2 linked regions of the Diceros bicornis minor genome follow. The protein of the gene in region 1 purifies or fractionates together with the protein of each later gene. This does not show direct contact. Links are inferred from orthologs where the notes say so. Each region holds a gene or a part of one and is shown on either strand. Other genes may lie near its edges.

The links. The genes of interacting proteins can lie anywhere in the genome.
Region 2: the proteins of AXIN1 (region 1) and DVL3 purify together in Homo sapiens (affinity purification with western blotting; 3 studies listed by BioGRID and IntAct, with this or other methods). This does not show direct contact. The link is inferred for Diceros bicornis minor from reciprocal best matches to the Homo sapiens genes AXIN1 and DVL3.

Annotation. Positions count from the first base shown.
Region 1 is NC_080765.1:47,942,425-47,952,814, reverse strand, and holds the start of AXIN1 (axin-1), read right to left. Parts: upstream 3,735-10,390; 5' UTR 3,625-3,734; intron 1-3,624. UniProt on the Homo sapiens protein: Component of the beta-catenin destruction complex required for regulating CTNNB1 levels through phosphorylation and ubiquitination, and modulating Wnt-signaling.
Region 2 is NC_080754.1:39,517,376-39,526,968, forward strand, and holds the start of DVL3 (segment polarity protein dishevelled homolog DVL-3), read right to left. Parts: upstream 3,791-9,593; 5' UTR 3,559-3,790; coding exon 3,398-3,558; intron 1-3,397. Other genes in the region: EIF2B5 (translation initiation factor eIF-2B subunit epsilon), read right to left, coding at 8,531-8,590, 8,769-8,879, 9,313-9,438. UniProt on the Homo sapiens protein: Involved in the signal transduction pathway mediated by multiple Wnt genes.

The DNA.
Region 1 (10,390 bases):
TCTGCCTGCCCCACCACTTCACACTTAGGATGCCTCACAACATGTGCAGACACATGGGCGAGTTGTCCCTTAACTCTCAACACTGCTGAGAGAGCAGCCCATCGTGGGTCACCCTCAGCATCTTCAACTGAATGATCAAAGGACACCACCACACGCACACACACAGGGGCCTGCTACATCACCAATGTGACCATCTTGCAAGTGCTTCCATCAGAAAGTTGCACTTTTAAAACCTTGCTTATAAAGACAGTGTCCTTCTGATAACAAACGGCAATTGAGTACTCTGAGAAACAGAGAAGGTACAGAAAAATGACACCAAATACCATTATACCTTTTAGCTAAGGAAGCAGACAGCTCACACAATTTAACTCATAAGCTGAAAACCAAACCACCCACCCTCTTGGAGGTCAAGGAACTACAGGTTTGCTGTTGCTGCTATAAGCCTGCCTGGGGTGTGAGGGGGGACTGTCCTGGATCAGGACTCTGCATGGTCTTCAGTCCTCCCTGCTGCATCCTACAGGAGCTCACAGAGCCCACGAGCTCTGGCTACACTTCCAAACCCGGCCATGGGGGTGACTGCAACATGGCCTGCCATGAGATAAGTGGGCTGGCTAGAAGCATGTCCAGTCTAACCACCTGGAGCGCTGAAAAAGCCAGAGGGAGCAAAATAAAACCCTAAAACCTGGTTCCAACACAAAGGGTAGCTCTCCCCAGCCACCACTTCACACTCAGGGCTACTTCACACTGGTATACGTGTAATCCACCCCCTCACACCTGCCTTCTCATGCTGCACACACTTCACCTGCCGGCAGCTGCAGATGGCTAGAAGCGAGAAGCATCCAGAGACAGAGAATAGGTCACAATTATGTGCCCCAAATGACATTTCTGCAGCTAATGACTTTCTATGTAAACTACTGGGTAGGCTGTAATCTCAGCCTTGGCAGGAATGCCCTGTTTCTTAAGGTCAAGGCCCATGGGCTATGGCACCCTGCTGCTCCTGGACCACATCAACTGCAAAGTTGCTTTCTTTGAGCCCTATCAACTTGGAATGAGCACCTTCGGTGTCTCAGCTCCACACCAGCTTGTGGACGTCTAATGTCCTCTTGTCCGGGATGCCATCTTAGGAAAGAGGGCCAGCACCTGGCCCTTGAGCCTTACCCTTGGAGATGCCTTGTAGTTCACTAGCCTTGAGAAAGAACCAAGTCACTGTGTGCAAATGGGAGGCTAATTAGGAGTCACTGTCACTTTCTCTTAAGGTGCTTATGTCTTCTATGTAAATTATTTGTAGCAGGCTGATTTAAACATTTTCTGCAGAACCCACAGCACCTAGCACAAAGTCTTGCAACTAATGAGCACCAATAAATATTTAATTCATTGACATAAAGGAAAACAACACTTGTCATAGATGCCAAATGTTAACTCTTTACAGACGCTAAATTATTGTGCTATAGAACAAGCAGCAAATTCAAGACCCAGCCATTCATTACAAAACAGTGGATGTCTTAAAAAACTAACATTTTAATTCATGTGTGAACAAGTCCCTCTAATCATTTTAAACTATGTTTCATTGCCCAAAAGAAACATTCCTTGTAATTCACATCTATTTTTGGCTGTCAACTGACAGAGACATTTGGTGTCCCTGGGAGCACATGAACACCTCTCCAAATTACTGATGACACTGAAACGTGCTCCAGGTCCTGCAACCTCTGGGTTCCCACAGAGGAGCACACCAGCATTTAGTGTCCGCACGTGTGCATACCACACAGAAAGCAGTTATGTTAATTCAGGTTAGAGTCAAATGCCCACAAGCACTGAGTTTGGCCAACAGCCTGTAACCACCATCAATAAAGGGATTCCATAGAAGGAATCTACAACTCCAATACGGCATTTAAAATCTCATTTAGTCACTGCTGAGGCATACCCCCTGGGTACCAGGGCAGCCAGCTCGATGCTACAGATGTGTATGTATTTATTTATTTTAGTCAAATATAACTTTTGAACTTTTGATCTATATGGACTGTGGAAGTAACAGAGCAAGAATGACATTTTCCCAACTGTCTGCTAATTAAACTCTTGAAGGGTCAGGTCTACTGTTTTACACACAATGCATTCCCCCACCACCTCAATTCTCAATGACTAATGTAACCCAAAAAAGTCCACTTAGCTTTTCTGAAACTAGAAATCCAAGAAACACCAACACCTGCTGAAAATCAAACAGAAACACTGTATTTTGCATGCTCTCCCATCCTTGTCCCTGAATAGAAGTTCTTAAAACTGAAACCCAGATATTGCCGACTATCTTGGGAGGTCACGTTTAGACTGTGTGTGTTCTCCAAAACAGAGCCTGTGGGTCTAAGTATGCCCGAGATTCTTCCTAAAGAAGCAAAGAACATAAAATGCAAGCAAAGAGGAGAAGCCGAGATGCACAATAAGAACTCTTTACAAATTATCTTAGAGATGGGCTGAGAAAAATCCCCAGAGATCTGGTGTATTATTCTCTACTGTCCTCTGTGCCGAGCTACAAGTTTCACTGCCCTGGCTGTGCAGCTCTGGTTCCATGGGGGACTGAATTCCAAAACATGTAGTGGAGGCAGAATCTAAGATCCACACCCGAGAGAGAGTGCTGGAGGCAAGGCATCAATCTGAGAGAGGACAGCCACTGGACAGGCCACCCACAGCTGGACGCAGCCCAGGGCACAGATTCACTCACTCCTACTCTTTGCTGGGGGGAGAGGGAAGGGACGCTCCACTGCCCTGTCTTTCTCCAAGATCCCTGCACAGAATGTCTGGGCCCAGCAGCTACTCTGCACCCCACCCACACCACAAAACATACCCCAGGCAGGAGAACCACAACACACCTGGCACCACACAATCAAACGCAGCAGCTTCCCACCCCAGGTTCCTCCAGGAGCACCACCCACCCCTTCTCGGAAACCGGGGTCTTCCTCACACCCTTCCTCTCCCCCAAACCAAGAGTCTGCACTTCCTGAACCAAAGTCTGCTTCTTCCGTGTTCACACACGCCAGTGTCAACAGTTCTCGCATTCTCCATCCCCTGCTAGCATCCCCCCTCTGACACGCCTGCCTCCACAGCCTTGGACCTCACAGGCCCCACCCCAACCCCCCGCACAGCCTGGGCCCTCCCGCATGCCTCCTCTTGCACCCTCCCCTCACACACTCCAGGGCCCCCTCACAGCCTCCCCTCACACCCTCGGAGCCCACACAGCCTCCCCGCACACCCTCGGAGCCCGCATACCCTCCCCTCACACCCTCCCGGCCCGCACAGCCTCCCCTCACACCCTCGGAGCCCGCATACCCTCCCCGCACACACTCCCGGCCCGCACAGCATCCCCTCACACCCTCGGAGCCCGCATGCCCTCCCCGCACACACTCCCGGTCCGCACAGCCTCCCCTCACACCCTCGGAGCCCGCACAGCCTCCCCTCACACCCTTGGAGCCCGCATACCCTCCCCGCACACACTCCCGGCCCACATAGCCTCCCCTCGCCCTCCTGGCCCGCACCCGCCAAGCCCCTCTTCCGGGTCCCGCCCGCCCGGCCTACGCGGCCTACAATGCGGCCGCACAGGCCCGCGCCCTCGGGAATGCGCCCGGCCCGCACACTCACCCGCGCGCGGCGGCGGGGCCCCGGGCCCGGCTCCCGGAGCGGCGCGGCGCGGCGCGGCCCATGCGCTCAGTGGCGGTGCGGCGGGCGGGACCGGGCGGGGGCGCGGCCCGGGGCCGCCCCCATCGCGCGGCGGCCCGGAGGTGGGCGCGGGGCAGGCCGCGGGGCGCCGCCGAGGCCGGCCGCCGCTCTCCGTGGCCTGCTCCGCGGGGACGCGGCTCCGGCCCGACTCCAGCCGGTCCTGCGGCGGCGGCGGCAGCGGCCGCGATCGCTTCCCTGAGCGGGGAGCCGGAGCCCAGACGCAGAAGCCCAGGCCGGAGCGCCCCCGCCGGCGCCGCCCGGAAGTGCGGGGGCGGGGGCAGGGAGTGGGGCGGGGCCAGGAGCGTGGGGCGGGGGCGGGGCGTGGGGCGGGACTGAGTGTGGGGCGGAGCCGCAGCGTAAAGCTGGCGGAGAGCGTGGGGCGGGGCCGGGACCGCTAGAAGGAGCCACGGTGCACAAACAGGGCTAAGAACGTGTGGGAGGAGCCTCTAACATGGAGGCGGGGCCAGGTCTGTGGGCGGGGCCGAGAGTGGCAGACGGAGCCGGAGCGCAGGGAAGGGCGGAGCCTGGAAAGAGGAGGCAGGGCCTGAGCGCGGATGCGGGGCCAGAGCGCCCAGGCGGGCTTGGGGCGTGAGGCGAGGCAGAGCGAGGGGGCGCGGTCAGATGCACTGATGTGGGGTTGGGGCCTTGGGCGTGCCGCGTGGCCGGGACCCTGTCGAGGGGAGCCGGAACCGGCGGCGGGAAACTGGGCTCGTCCCCCTGGGCGGTGGCGTCCCGGAGGGCGGCGTCAGGGGACGCCCCCGCGAGGTTCCCTGAAGGACCCCGGCCACGGGATGCCCGGCCCGGTGCACACAGCGAGCGGACAGCCGGCCCCGCATCAGGGCACACGCCAGGTCGCAGCCCTTTTCTGCCGCCCACACCGGTGTCCACTGGCCCAGGGCTCCCGAGGTCGGCCCGCGCCCAGCCAGCCTCCCACCGGCTCGGGGCGAGCAGCTTGTGCCTGGGCGGACGGGGTGGCCAGAGGGAGTGGAGACCGCGGGGCTCCCTGCCCGCCGGCCCTGGACAGGAGGACCTTTGCAGGTGGCCCTGGACGGCCACCAACTACCGGCGCACTGAAGGAAGCAGATGTCCAGAAGTTGGGTGGTTGGAGGGCAGAGCCAGGCTGACCGGGAGCTGAGCCCCCGTGATGTCCAGCTCCTGTCTCCACCTTCACCATGCCTGCTGCCCCCTGGCTGGCCAGGACCCTGAGAAGGTGGGCCAGGGCTCTCCCCTCCCCAGGTCCTCAGGCAGTCTGGACTCAGACAGGGCCAAGGCACACAGTGGGCAAGAGGTGTCTGATAATGCTGGCTGTCACTTGGGCAGTAGCCCCAACTGCCAAAGAGCTGTGCTTGAGACTGGCTGAGACCCCACCTCGGCTGGGCCTGCCTGCCTCAATTTCTCCCTGGCACCATCCAGGGTCTGGACAAGGGCTCCCCTTCCCACCACTGCCTGCGGGTCCCATTCGCCCAGGCCAGCCTGAGAGCAATTGCTTCTGGGTGTCCCATTCCCTGCACCCACCATCCCTTCCCCCCAGCTGTCACCTTGGCAGCTCTTGCCTGACCTGCAAGCCTAGCTGGCAAACTCCATGTTGCCTGCCCACCACCAACTCAGATGTGAGCACCACGGACATATGTGAGCGCCAGGAATTGATTACTGCCCCAAGGAATCACTTCTAGGATGCCCCATGACCACCCAGGACCCTGTCCTCCACAGAGCCACGCCAGGCCTGGCACCTCGAGCAATGCCCCCAGCAGCCTCCAGGGGATGGCTGTACCCCCATTCTACAGAAGAGGAAGCTGCAGCTCAGGCCACAAAGAGACCTGCTCACCTCCCAGCCCAGGGCTCCCCAACACCTCATCCACCCCACACCTTCCCCAACAGCCCTCATCTGGCCTGATCTCTGGTGCCCATAGCCTTTCAGGGCCCTTCCCTGACATCTCCTCCACACCACCCTCCCTTGGGTGCCTCTGGTCACTTGCCCACCTTCATGTTTCTACTACCCTGCCCCCCCAAGTCCCCCACGTCACCTCTAATGCCACCGCACCTTCTCCTGGACACTGCTCACCCTTGCTGCCCACCCTCATCCTTCATAGCTCCCAGGCAAGGGCAGAAGTCCCCGCTCAGGGCACTCTGAGCCACCAGCCACCTCCCAGCAGCTGCCCCTGGTGGTGCCTTCCTGTGTGAGCGGGTACAGAGGCATCCCAGCCCCCAGCCACTGCCAGCCGGCCTCCTCCGGGACCGGCACAGCATCCGCTGCCCAGGGTTTTGTAGGAAAGTGGGGCAGTGAGGGATGGGGACCGGGAAGCATCCCCAGCCTGCCAAGGGCCCAGGCCACCTCCTAGGGCCATCACCACACCTCAGGGCAGGCTGGGCAGGGGCTGGGGCTGTGGGTGAGGACAGCACATCACAGGAGCTGCTCTGCTTAACCCACACTGGCCCCACTAGGGTCCTGGCGGCAGGCGTCACTCTCACCTGCATGCAGCTGGGATGGCCTCAGGCCTCGCAGTGCTGGCCACGGGAGACGCCCTTGCAGCTCCTCCCCCACCTTGTTCAGCCTCAGAGACTTCCAGGAGACAGAGTGGTGACCCTCATGGCACAGCATGGTCTCTGTGGGGTGTGGGAGTCCTGGACAGACAGCAGGACTTCCTGGACATTGGCCCTCAGGCTGCCTCCCCACTCCCAGATACGGGCCCTCCACGCTTGCCTTGGTTCTGCAGAGCCACTGCTGCGGCCAGGCCAGGCTCCCAGGGTTGTGTCCACGTCCATCCTCCTCCTGGCGCATGGCAGCAGGTGTCCCCAGGCCCTGGGACCAGAACAAGGCCCTCGGGCTTCTGGCTTCTCAGGGCCCCCGCCCTGCAGGGACAGGAAGGGAGTCAGAAAGCTTGGAGGATACGCAGCAGCCCTGCCACAGTGGGTTACGGCTGTGGGCGTGCAGGGGACATTGTCTGAGCAGGGTGGAGTGGGGGTGGGCCAGATAAGCGAGCTCAGTGAAGACTCTGAAGAGAGGGAGGGCGGCCCTGGGGGCCTGCAGTGGAGCAGGGGTGAGCTGGCAGGGGGACTGCATCAGGCACCTGGAGCTGAGACCAGTCACAGAGCCGTGGGAGCCTCCCTTCTGAACAGGCTAGTCCCGAGACGGAGCCACGTCCTTTCTTTACAGAAGCCCTTTAAAACCCAACTCCCCTTCTCTGGGAGTGGGAGTCTGCCACTAGAGGCTTCCATTTGATTAACTGGGGACAAAATTCATTCAGGCTTTCCCTGAACTAAACGAGAAACTTAAGAGCAGAAATGAGGGCCGGCCTGGTGGCTTAGCGGTTAAGAGCGCGCGCTCCGCTACTGGCGGCCTGGGTTCGGAAGCCCCAGCGTGCACGGACGCACCGCTTCTCCGGCCATGCTGAGGCGGCATCCCACATACAGCAACTAGAAGGATGTGCAACTATGACATGCAACTATCTACTGGGGCTTTGGGGAAGAAAAAAAAAAAAAAGGAGGAGGATTGGCAATAGATGTTAGCTCACAGCCGGTCTTCCTCAGCAAAAAGAGGAGGATTAGCACGGATGTTAGCTCAGGGCTGATCTCCCTCACAAAAAAAAAAAAAAAAAGCAGAAATGAAATTATTTTCTTCAACTTAGACAAAAAAGGAATACTTTGAAATAAACTGAGCTTGGAAGCCTCACACGTGTTCGTCCGCTTGGCTGAGAAAGCTTATGAAAAGTGACCCAAAGGAATCCCCCCGGCAGGCACCCAGGAGGCACGCCAAGGCGCGGCCTGATGCGCGGTGGGGAACACCAGCACCAGAGAAAGAGCTACAGAGATGGGACACTGTGCGGCAGATCCCCATGGTCTTCCTGGGTGCGCAGGACAGGGCTTCTAGAGGTGGGGGTGGGCGGGCAGGCTGGGGAGGGAGGCCTTGACTTATCCAGTTCTGACCAATGAGGAGTGGACTTCCCTGTGAGGCGCAGCCCCAGTCACACTGGCCAGCCACCTTCCTGGCCGTAAGCCCAGCCCCCTGGGCTCCATCTCTGGCCTGAGTGTCCTTTTTCCATCCGTTCTGAGCTCGGGGGAGGGCAAGGTGTTGTTTGTGCCACCATCCCAGGCCCAACAGAGGGTGCAGAGATGTTGCACCAAGATGGAGAGACATAACACCAAGGAGAAAAGCTAGGAGACAGTGCGTGCATGGTGCCCGCTTTTGTGAGCACAGGAAATGTGGGTATACAGTCAAGAAGACTGAAGAACCATCCTGGAGCATTAACACCCGTTGTTGCTAGACAGCAGGATTGGGGTGGGCTCCCTTCTCTTCTTTGTGCCTTCAGGAAGAAGTTCTACAACGATGTTGCTGTTATGATCACGTGGAGACCCTGAAGTTCTGCAGCAGCGCCATCTCTCCATCAACGCTCAGTATAAGTTAACCCATTGGAGCAGCTCGGGCAGAGGGTTGAGAACTGGGGGACGACAGAGCTGACCCATTGGGCAGTGCTGGGCAGGGTGGCAGGCCCTGTGCTGTGCCTGTGGCAGTCACCCAGAGTTGGCCCCAGGACCAGTGAAAAGGTGCCACCTCGAGCTTCCTGGGCCGGCCCAGCTTCCCGTGGACACTCTGGGCTGGAGCTCCCTGGGCCCCGAGTCTGCGTCTGGCAGGTCCCCCCGCCTCTTTCCTCCTGTGTTTGGCTCCTCTCGCCCTTCACACTGGGGCAGGTGTGTTGTCCAGGCTGGCATCTTGCATCCCTCTTGCTGTCTGGAATTCTCTCGCCAGCCCTTCAGCTGAAGCTGCCTCAGGCAGACGCCCTGGGAGTGATCTGGGGTCCCGCGGCCAAGCTGGGGAGGTACAGGGACGGGAGCAGGCCTTTGCCTCAAACAGGTCAGCTCCAGTGTCAGCCCAGTGTCCACCGCTGCATGCATGATACCCGGCGTGACTGTCACCTTCCACCTGGCTGCTGTATGTCTTCCTGTGCTGATGGTCCCTGTCCTAAGGGACGTCGTCAGCCACATTCAGGGCTTGTCACACCTTCCCTGCTCTCCCGACCCAGGTGAGGAGGTCCCCCCACAGGGGCACGTGGCAGCCTCTCACAAAAGGCCACTGTGGTCACCGTGCACTGTGCTGTTTCCCACTCACTCTCGGTACAGGGTCCCCGCCTAGCCAGTCAGTGTCATGCTTGTCTGCATGGACGACTCACCCAGCAGACCTGACACAGCCCCCCACAGCCCCACTGGCTCCCATGAGTCAAGGGTCAGGCCCAGGGCTGACAGGGCAACAGTGGCATGGCGGCAGATATGTGGCCCCAAGGGCAGGGCATTCCATCCCAGGGTGCCCTCCACACCCTGACTCAAGTCTCACTTCGTGTCCTGAGGGCGTCCTGTTACCCAGGCTGAGGGGCACAGTAGGGATACCTTCCCACACTGCTTTTCTGGAGGATTCTGACCCTAAGGACGTGTCCGGGGGTCCAGGAGATGGTTGAGTAGGCTCAGGGCTAAAGGGGCAGCATTGAGGGTTTGAGGTGCGAGATGGGCCCCACTGGCCACAAGGGCCTGGGAAGGATGAGGGGAGAGCAGCCCGCCCACCACCAACCCCGCACCTCCCCAACTTGGGAGCCTCAGGGATGTGAGGGGTGCCGCCCGGGCTGCCTGGCTCCCACCTCCCTGGACTCTTGAGCATCTGCCTGTGTCTCAGGCCAGCCAGTGGCTCAGGGTGAGCCAGAGTACCCTCCCTGGCAAAATGAGGGTCCTGACCCGACCCTGCTGGCCTCAGAGGCCCGTGCGCAACCCTTGGTGAATGGGCCAGGCCGTGGGGTGGAGCCACTGCTGGCCGTGGCCCAGGTCAAGTGTCTCAAACTCGTCACAAGCAATGGGAATGGCCTGCTGGCCTCCCCCAACCCCAGGGACGGTGGTGTCTGAGTGGAGGGGCAGTGCTGCTGAGGGGCCTCCAAATTCTGGAAGCAGCAGGGGAAGTCACCTTCCAGGCAGCCTCAGGTATGCCTGCCCTCCTGCCAGGCAGACTTTCACCCTTGTCCTTGCTGTTCCCTCACAGGGAATGCTCTTCCCTGGCCTGACCACCCCATCCCGGAAGGCCTCTCCCAGTGCTGAGAGCTCGTGTTTTTCCTTTCACTGGACCCACCTCATTCAGCCCCTGCAGGCCTGCACGGTCCCAGAGACCAGAGGCCACCCCTTGAGCTGCAGTGAGGGGACCTCGTGATGGGAGGCAGGCCAGCTGCAGGACCCACAGCTCAGGCCCTCCATCCTGCTGTCCCACGATGTCTCTCTCGGCTGCCTAGGAGCCCTGTGGCTGCCGGGGCCAAGTTCTAAGTACGTGATTATGTATGCCGGGGTCCCTGGGCCCTTTGTTGCCACGGAGTCTGCCGTGGCACACAAAAGTGCACTGGATTAGCCACAGTGGATTAAAAGATTTGCTTCTCAGAATTTACCTAATAACCTAACAATCGCGCTGACGGAGGCTTTGAACCTCCAGGACACGCTCACCCAGCCATCTGGGAGCTCTCAGCCTCTGCGGGCAGCAGGACAGCAGTCGGGGTGATTACAGGCAGCCACCGCCTGTCCTTACCGCAGCTCTGCCGGTGGCCAGGCCTGCACTCTCAGCTCCTGCCAGGCCCGTCTAGGCTGAACTTGGGACGGGACCAGACTCCATCCAGGAGAAGAAGGTGGAGGCCCAGGTGCGGGGACGAGGCCCAGCCAAGACGGCCTT
Region 2 (9,593 bases), on another chromosome or scaffold:
TGGCATGGTCCAGTCATACAATAAAAATAGTTACTAACTTTGTCAAATTTTAGCAGGATCCATACTCTGTCTAATGAGGTGTAAGTTTCTAAGGGCAGCGACCAAACAAATCTGCTCATCGTTCATCATTCATTCAATTAAAAGGCCTTTGCTGAGAGCCCAGTGGCTTTTAAGTCCTGTGCTTGCGATGCTATGGACCTCAAGAAGCATCAGACCTGGAGCCTGCCTTATCCTCGGGGGTTACGGTCCAATGGACAGTTCACTAAGTATACCACAAGCAGGAAGTGGTCAGAGCCGTAAGAGCAGCAGACGTGTTCCCTCGACAGACATCTGCTGATTACTTAGGTGTCAGGTCCTGGCTAGGAGCCAGGTAGGTGTAAGGATAAACAGAATAAAGTGTGGTAACTTTAAAAGCTTAACCCAGAGGACAGGAGAATTTGGACCAGACAAGAGAAGAGAAGAAGAGTGCTCCAGGTAGAAGGCCCGAGACAGGTATGACACGGAGCAGGGAGCAACACAGTGAGTGGCCCAAGGTCCCATGTTGCTCCCTCCCACAGCTCAAGGACATGCCAGCAGTGGGTACCTTGTTCTTCCCCCCACCATCTCCTCAGTGCTGAAAATGTTTATTCTTCTTCCATTTCTCAAATGACTTAAGAAGGCTGTGCCTACCCTGAGCTTGACAAATACTTCTGGAGACCAGATGGGAGTTGGGGAGTCCTTGGGCCTTACAAACCAGAACCTCAGAGGGTGAGCCTGGAGAGACTGAATGAAAGCAGCCTTCCTCCTCTGACCTACTTTCCCATCTGTCAGCAGGGGTTCCTGACCTCTGCCCTGACCCTCCTCTCATGGGGCTAGGATAAGTGGCAGCCCTATCACCTCTACAGTTTGCCAAGGCTCAGCATCTCCCTCAGAGAGGATGTATCTGTTAAATGGTGATAATAATAATACTTACAACTGTGTGATTAAGGCCCTACACTGTGGAGGCAGATTCCTGATGTTGAATCAAGTTCTGCCACTTACTAGCTGTGTGACCTTGGGTAAGTTACTTAAGTTTTCTGTGCTCTAGTCGCCTCATCTATAAACTGGAGATATTACACCTATTTCACAGGGCTGTTAAAAGGATTGAATGAGTAAAGATTTGAAAAGCATTTAGATCAGTGCCTGCACACTGTAAGCACATAGAAAGAGTTTGTTAAGTAAGTGAGATATAGATATATACATGCTCCTCAGCTATTCCTCTGTGACAAGACAGCCCTACCAGCTCTCTTGCTCATTAATCTTTCTGGGGATAAAAACAAAATCAACCTCCTCCACTTCTTTTTAGCATTGTTCTCAACCCTGTTAAATTGGCTCTAATTTTTTGGTTTCCTCTAATATTTTGCAAAGGATGGTTCAAGTACCACTGAGGTATGCAAGATGGCTTCGCGTGTACCTGAATGAACGTTTAATTCAATAGTTAAGTATTTATTTTTCACATATTTTAGAAAGAAATATAGATAAAAAATCGGACCTGTGATTTCATATTATTGATTGGGTCAAGCTAAGAAAGAGTGAGTGGACTGACAGTGGATTTAAAGAACAATATTAAGTCAGCAGTGAGTGGATGTAATGGGGTCCCTCCTATGACTGCAGTTAGGCTTGGCTTGACAGCAGCCTGGGGAGAGTGGGAGGCAGCCCAGAGAGGTCTAGGCTCAGGAGGTGGGGGTAGGCCCAGTGGGCTCAGGGATGAGTGGGACTCAGGGATGAGAGGCGGTTGGAGACACAGACTTATCCTAGTCCCTCAAGGCATCTGGCCCCAGGGTGGCCCCCTACTACAGTAGACTCTAGCTGATTTCCCCCTATCTCATACCCTGAGGCAGTATCTTGGTCTCTTCTGACTCTATTCTCTTACCAGGCCAAGGCATCTGCCCCCTCACTCCCACCCCCAGCAGATCGATCCCTCTTCAGAATCTTCCAATCAGGGGTGTCCTTCTCTGGACTGAAGCGAGATAATCATTACTACACCAGGAGTACCCCACCCCAGGGCAGGAACAACAACAACAGAAACAGGAGTTAGAAGCTGCATAGCACTTCCCACTATATAAAGCACTTATGATCTCATGGGCTCATGGAACTCTGAGTTCCAGGGGGAAAGGTGACAGCAAAACATGCCAGGCAGAAGAGAGAGAAGGTGCTTGCTTTGCTTCCCAGGGCAGGAGGGCCGGGGTCCTGGGAGAGAAGCCACACTGATGAACACTGGGGAGAAGAATGTCCCCCCTCACTCAGCTCTGGGGCCTCAGCTCCCAAGAGCAGTACAGGCCTCAAGCTAGGGCTGGAGCAGCAGCTTTTAGGCCTGGAGGGCCCAGGAGGGCCTTCCCCACAGGCCTCCAGGCCCAGTGCCCAGTTAGTGTGGGGCAGACTAGTGTGGGGGCCTCCCCCTCCCCCAGTCTCCTGGGAGTTGGGGGGGTGGTGAGGGGATCGGCCAGGCTCCCCCTCCTAGGCCAGCTGCTACAGAACCTTCCGGCTCCAACATTCCATCCCCTCTTAAAGGGGAAGTCGCTGCTTCCAAACTCCGCCTGTCCAAAGCCCTGCAGCTGGGTGGAGAAGACCCCGCCAGGGAGGGGAAGATGAAGAACACTAAGAGACTCTTCCTGGCCCTCCCATCCAGGCTCTGAGGCCCTTTCCAAGGTCTCCTCCTCGGCCACCATCTGGAGGAAAAAGGCCCCAATTCGGAGGGAAAATCAGCACCTGGGCTAGTGAGGACTCCTCCCAGGGGCCGGCGCTCTGCTCCCTTGATAACATCCTGAACACCCCAAGAGAGAGAGGGGAGACAGCTAAATAAACATCAGGTCTGCAGGCCTTAGCTTACAGCCTGGCGCCTAAGCACCCTCCATCTCACCCCCTCCTCCAGTTCAAAGTCCTGCACCATAGCCCTTAGATGCATGATACTCCAAATATGGCTCTGAGTTGTGGAGCCGAAAAGATGGAGCAGGCGAAGGCCGAGTGCCCAACACCCCAAGTCTATGCTACAAAGGTGGCTCCCTTGGCAGGAGGAGGGTTGGGGATTCTGGCTCTGGAACTGGGTGGAGGGGGGTGTGTGTCTGTCTATGTGGGCCGCTGGTCTCTGAGGAGGTGAGGGGACTTGACTGGGCTGAAATTCTGATTGCTTTGGGGGAGTTGAACGTCACCCTAAACTAGGGAGACCAAGGTCCCCCGAAAGAGGGGAAACGAGAGTCCCTCGAGGGGCTGAACTCCAGCCTCTGAAAAAGCCAAGGGGGCCCAAATAGCCGGGTCGCCCCTTAGAATCCAGAGCAGGGCTAGGAGCCAGTGTAGCAAAGGGGAGTCCAAACTGGCCAAGTGGCTCCCAGAAGCCGGAGGGGCTGGGGTCCCCCAGAGGCGAGGCGGGGGCCATCCTCACCCGAAATCGTCGTCCATAGACTTGAAGAAGAACTTATAGCTGGGTCGCTGCAGAACGCCCTTAAAGTCCGCCAAGGTGACGCGCTCGGCGGGCAGGGGCAGCTTCACCAGGTACGGCGTCTCCTGCCCGTCCAGGTGGTAGATGATCTTGGTCTCGCCCATGGCTCCGGCCTCGGGCCCGGCGGCCCGCGCGCGGCCTGCTTGGGCGGCCGGGCCGGGCCTCTCGGGCGGCGGCGGCGCTCGGCGCGACCCAGCGGCTCAGCCCAGTCGGCGGCCGGCCGCGGCGCCAGCTCCCTTGTTCTTCAGCCGCTCCCGGGTCCCAGCGCCGCCTGCCGCCGCCGCGGCCGCCGCTTCCGCTCCCCACTCTTCGGCTCGGCTGGCGACGGCGACTCTTCCGGTGGCCGCGGCCCTCTCGGCTCTGGGCTGCAGCCGGGCCCGCTCCCCTCCCCTGGCCCCGGCGCGGCCCCGCCCCGGCGCGGCCCCGCCCCCGCCGCCGCCAGCCGCGCTGGCCTCGCGGCAGATGTCCTGGCCCCGGGCCTGGCCCCGCGGACACCCCGCCCACCGGCCGGGCGGCGCGCTCCTGCTCCTGCGCTCCGGTCCCAGGCGCGCGGCGAGCGTCGCGACGGTCACCTAGGCCCCCAGAGATGGAAGGGCAGATCTCACTAGGATGGCCGCCTTCCTGGACTCTTCAAGGACCTTGCTCTGGACCCGAGGGGGATCTTGGCTGCTCCTCTGCAGCTGGCAGGGGTGAAATGCAGGGGTCCCTTTGGTTCCCAGAGATGGGAGGGGGAGCGCGGTTCTGATCATGTATAGCTGGAAGAAAGTGACCTCGACATGGCCATTTAGGGTCTGTTGAGAAGCACAACTGCTCTCACTGAGTCTCCAAACTGAGCTCCTTGAGGACAGAACAGGATCGAGTTCTAATTCCTTCTTAAAACCTCAGTACCTAGGTGCAAAGTAGTGGTTTAATAAGTGGATTGAATCCAGAATGGGTACAATAATGAAAATGCTCTCAAACGGAGAACTAGGTATAAGCAGTTCCTAATAGACCTCCTCACTCCTTAGCTTTTAATTCATTTAATAAATATTGAGTGCCTACTATGTGCAAGGCAAACTGTATAAGATACAGCAAAAACAAGACAGGCTGCCCTCAGGACCTTGGCTCATCTGCAAGGAGGCACAAGCTTGTATTTAAATAACTTTAGAGTGACAAATGCTATGAAAAAGATAAAATGGAGTGATGTGATAATAACCGGAAAGAGGATTATGGGTGGTCAGAGAAGGCCTCTTCCATTTGAGCTAAGACCTAGAATTAATGAAGAAGCAGCTATAAGAAGGTCTGGTCTGCAGCAGGCAGACCAGAGTCTGCATTCCAGGCAGAGGGCACAGCCAAATTCAAAGGCTTAAGGCAGGAATAAACTCGCCAAATTTGAGGAACAAGAAGCAGGCCATTGTGACTATAGGGATAGTGGTAGATGAGGCTGAAAAGGTAGATTGGAACCAGATCACAAAGGTCCTTTTAGGCCACAGTAACAAGTGTGGGCTCCTCCCACTCCATTTTGTACACTGTGGCCAAATTAGCATTTCAAGAGTAAGTACAGTCATGTGCAGCATAATGAGGTTTTGGTCAACAATGGACCGAATATACATAAGATTAGTACCATATAGCCTAGGTGTGTAGTGCGCTATACCATCTAGGTTTGCGTAAGTACATGCTATGATGTTCACTATGAAATCGCCTAACAACGCATTTCTCAGAATGTGTCCCTGTCATTAAGCGACGCATGACTGTACCTCTTTCAGACACTTCTTTTGCTCAGAACTCTCCACATTCCCCAATGCCTTCCAAATATTCTTAGCATGATATTCAAAGCCTTCCATAATCTAACTTTTTCCTACCTTTAAAGCCTTTTGTTTCAGTATGTCCTGGCTAAATTTTTTACTTCAGCAAATCAACCTATTTGCTAGCCCCTGCACACACCTTGTATATTTTCATTTCATACCCTTCTCTTTACTTTAAATTTTATTAAAGTAATATGTGTGGCCGGCCCCCATTTCCTTTTATTTTTAAATGATTTCATCTCTTTGCAAGATTTTGTTAACATTATTTCCAACCTTTCTCCTATCCAATTGGATAGGTAAAATATTCCCGATTGAAAATTCAAGTACATAAGGATGGATGTACAGTCTCTTTCCTATTTGGTTCTCTAGTCCTCCAGCTCTCAAAAGGAAATAATTCATTTACTTATTTTTAATTTCTAAGAACTCTTTTGTTCTCCAATTGTTCCTTCACAGACACAATATCTTTCCTCTTTGAGTTTTGAGAATACTAATTATAGCTTTCCCCTCCTGAAGTTTTCAAAAAGCTCCCTACTTTGTCACTGTTTCCTTCGTTTCAATTTTCTGTGTTTTGGTCTCTGCCTTTCACGCTGGAAGTTTCCTCAAATGTTTGATGGCCCTAAGCAGTCTATTCACGTTTAAGAGTGAGATACTAAAAAGCTGATTGGGAGCTCTGTCCATGCATACGGCTTATTAACTAACAGGCTTCACTGTAGGGTGATCCAGTGGGGGAAAGATGACTTCTCCCCGAATAAATAAAAAATGTTAAGTATTTGCAGGTCCTTTTTCTGCAGTTGTTCAGTTTGTTTTCGCCTGGGAGTATAAGTCGGTGTATGCTGATATTCAGAGCCTTACCACTCATATACTATCACTTAATCCCTCATTTTCAATCTAGCCCCTCACCCGCATCTCTACCATGCCTGCTGTTGAGTCCAGAGGCTCTAATAGTTTACGTATTCCCTGAGGTTCTGAAATTTCATGGGGCTATTTCATTCATTATGCTGGGTGCTCATGGGCTCTGTCAGTCTGGAAACTCATGACCTATGGGTTTAGGAAACCTTTGTAAATATTTCTTTGATAATTTCCTCCCCATCGTTTCTCCAAAGACTCAATCTTCCATTTCTTGCGGGGGAGAAGTTGCGGTAATCACCTGGCTGGATCAGATGAGGGGGACCTGGGGGGCTTTTTCTTAAACAGATCTTTTTCGAATTTCCTTCCACCTCACCTCTAGCTCTCAGCCCCAATCCTTACCTCCTCTGCTGAGCCTTTTCTGGGTCCAGAAGGGCACACTGGTTTGCTTCTTGTTAATAACCACCTCAGCAGGTAAAACCCATCTCATTCTGCTCTGCCAGGTCAACTTTCACTCTTCCATTTATTTTTCATTTTCCAAAATGTTGATGTCTCTCATTATTGTCATCACCTCCTGTTTTCCTTATCATTGAATCATGTGCCTTTTTTGAAGTCCTTTACTGGCATTTGAATGGGTTTTGGAGGGAGTAAAAAGCCCATGTCTTTAATTTGCACATTTAAGTAGAAATCCTTGGCTTTGCTTTTGCCATTCTACCTTTTCTGTTTTTTAGGCCACTCAAGCATCACAATCCTGTAAGCCTTCCCTAATCACCCCAACTGGAAGGACCCTCTTCCTCCTAAAAAGTTCTATAGGCCACTTCTGATCTCTGCCACCCATTAGGTACAAATCAGAGGTGCCCTATAACTATTTGTATTTAACTGCCCCTATTAGGTCCATGCCATAAACAGAAACTGAGATTTATTGAATAAGAAAAGTAAATTAAGTCAAACCCCGGCCAGCCTATCTTTTCTTCTTTAGAAATACTCAGTAATGCCCCTTCAAACCCCTGAGTACAGTTCAGTATCCTCTTCCTCAGCTTATTCCTTTCCACCCAAATGAAATGAAGAAAGGCAACCATTTTATCTATGATGTCCAGGAGGGCTACTTGTTACCAGTAACATTTGCCACAGTTTAAGTGTCAACAGAGTAAGGGTTATAGGAAGGCAACCAAGAGCTCAAAAAGATGAGCTAGAAGGGCATGTCTCATGGTTGAGGTTAGAGGAGACAATACAGCAAACTGACAAATTCCAGCTTTAGAGTCCAATAACAAATCCTGGCTCTATCAATTACCAGCTATGGGACCTCTTTGAACTTCAGGCTCCTCATCTGAAAATGGGGATAAGACCTACCTCACAGGGCTGATGTGAAGGTTAACTAAAATAACACATGAAAAATATTTAGCAAAAAAAAAAAGCAAAATGCCTATCATACAGTAATCAGTCTCTCAATATCAGAGGAAAGCCCATTTCACAGGATCTTCCTCTGTCTTAGGATATCCATTGCTGGCTTGGGGTTATATTTGCCTGTGAGGGCCATTTCCCTTTACCTGGACACTGAATAAGCTGAAGCAGAAAGAATTCTGGATTATGAGGCTCAAGTGCTGGATTATGAGGCTCAAGTCCTTAGCCTTACCCCTCAGGAGTCATGAGACCTTGAGCAAATTTCCTTTTCTTTAAGATGAAAAGTAGCTCAGCTTCCCTGACAGCAGTACTGGATCAACTGGACAAAGTACATGAGGGACTGGTAGGTGGTTAATGGACTGACTTACACTTGGCATCATCACCCTCTGGCAGAAAAGTGTTTGGACTAGGACTCCCTATGGAAAAAGGCTCAGGCACACCACCTCAGGATCACAAGTTGGTCCATAGAGGCTAGAAAAGAATCTAGGCCCTCCACTATCCATAAGCCATGGCAATGGTCAATTAGCGAGGCACCACAGTACCACCTAGTGGCCATAATAGCCCTCTTCGCCCTCTCCCCCAGGTGTTAAGGAAAAGCTGACATGTCAGAGGTTTAGAACTCTTTGGTCGCCTACTTCATCGGCTGATCAGTCAGAGCTGGAAGGAAACCAAATACACTCCTCTCTCTCTTTTTTAATATTAACAAATACAAGCAGCAGAGAGGGCCAGCTGCTCTCTGCTGTTCCCTGAGGGAACGCCAGAACACAAAGCTGTTCCTCTGGCCTTCCTCTAACTACAGGGCCTGTTTCGCTCCTCCTTAGGCAGAGCTTTGTTCCAGCCCAGCTTCCCTCATCCCAATTCCCCAGTGGGGATGGGAGGCACGTGGTTGCTGGCGGTGGGAAGAATACTGTAATTCCAGCCTCTGCTCCTTTAAGTCTCAGCTCAGACGGTGGTCACTCAACCTTCTGCAACTAGCCTCTTGCTTGCCCTGGCCCAGAAGCCAGGAGGGCAATCAACCACACCCACGGGAGCAGGCAGTGTGACTTCAGTCATCTTCAGATGACTCCTCTTCTGCCTCTTTTAGCCACTGGATGAACCTCTGCAGCTGTAAGAAAGCAGAGTGGATAGCTACTGAGAGAGGGACACATAACCCTCCTGTTCTCCTTCGTGGATAAACAGTTCTAACAATCAGAGTCCCAGGGACCAACCATCCTGGAATCTAGGGCCAACGGCCAGGGAACAAGACAACCACTCCGTGGTGAGAGGAGGGCAACCTGACTCACTTGTTGGTTCTTGCGCAACTGCCGGCCTTTATCAGTTGTATCCCTTTGGCTGAACCAGCTCAAGATTGTTTCTTCAGCCAGGATCTCCAGCTGGTAGAAAGCCATCAATACCTGCAGAAGGCCAGCAGAGGAGATCTCAGGGGCCTTGCAGAGTCCAGCAAGATATAATGGATAACGGGGGAAGAGGAGGTAAGATCTTAGCATCTCTCTCTATCAGGCCCTCAGCTTCCTTCTACACACTGAGCAGCCTCCTCCAAAACAGACAAGAGTAATAAGCTGTTCACGCTGGTACTGGAACAGGTATAACTTCTGGAACTATTGCTGGGCAGTGCTTCGCACATTCCCAGGGCAACCTTCAAATGGCTGCCTTACTAGCCTGGCTCCAAGCTGTACTATCCCAGCAATAAGCACAACACTAGGGGTGGATGGTGCTGTTAACCAAACTCCATACTGGATTCACGTCAGCCTGTTTTGTGTCTCCACAAGGTTACCAAGGCCTGTTTCAAAGCAAATGCAGGACTTTGGGGCTTGAGATGGTATTTACCTTGGCCATGGAAGTACCAAGAGGTTCATGCTCCAGGAAGAAGTCCTCAATGGCTGCCAATGCTTCCAAATGATCAGCTGCACGCTTTACGTAGTTCCTAAAAACAGGGCTCCAGGCCTTGAGCAGCTATGGAAGAAAGGAGAAAAGAGCTGCAATATATTCCTGAGCATGCACCTATACCTGGATGGCAAAGAAAATCAATATTGATAACATGGGTCTTTCATGATGTGGGAAGACCAGAAGGAGACGATATAGGCCCTGTGAAATTATGTCAGAGGGAC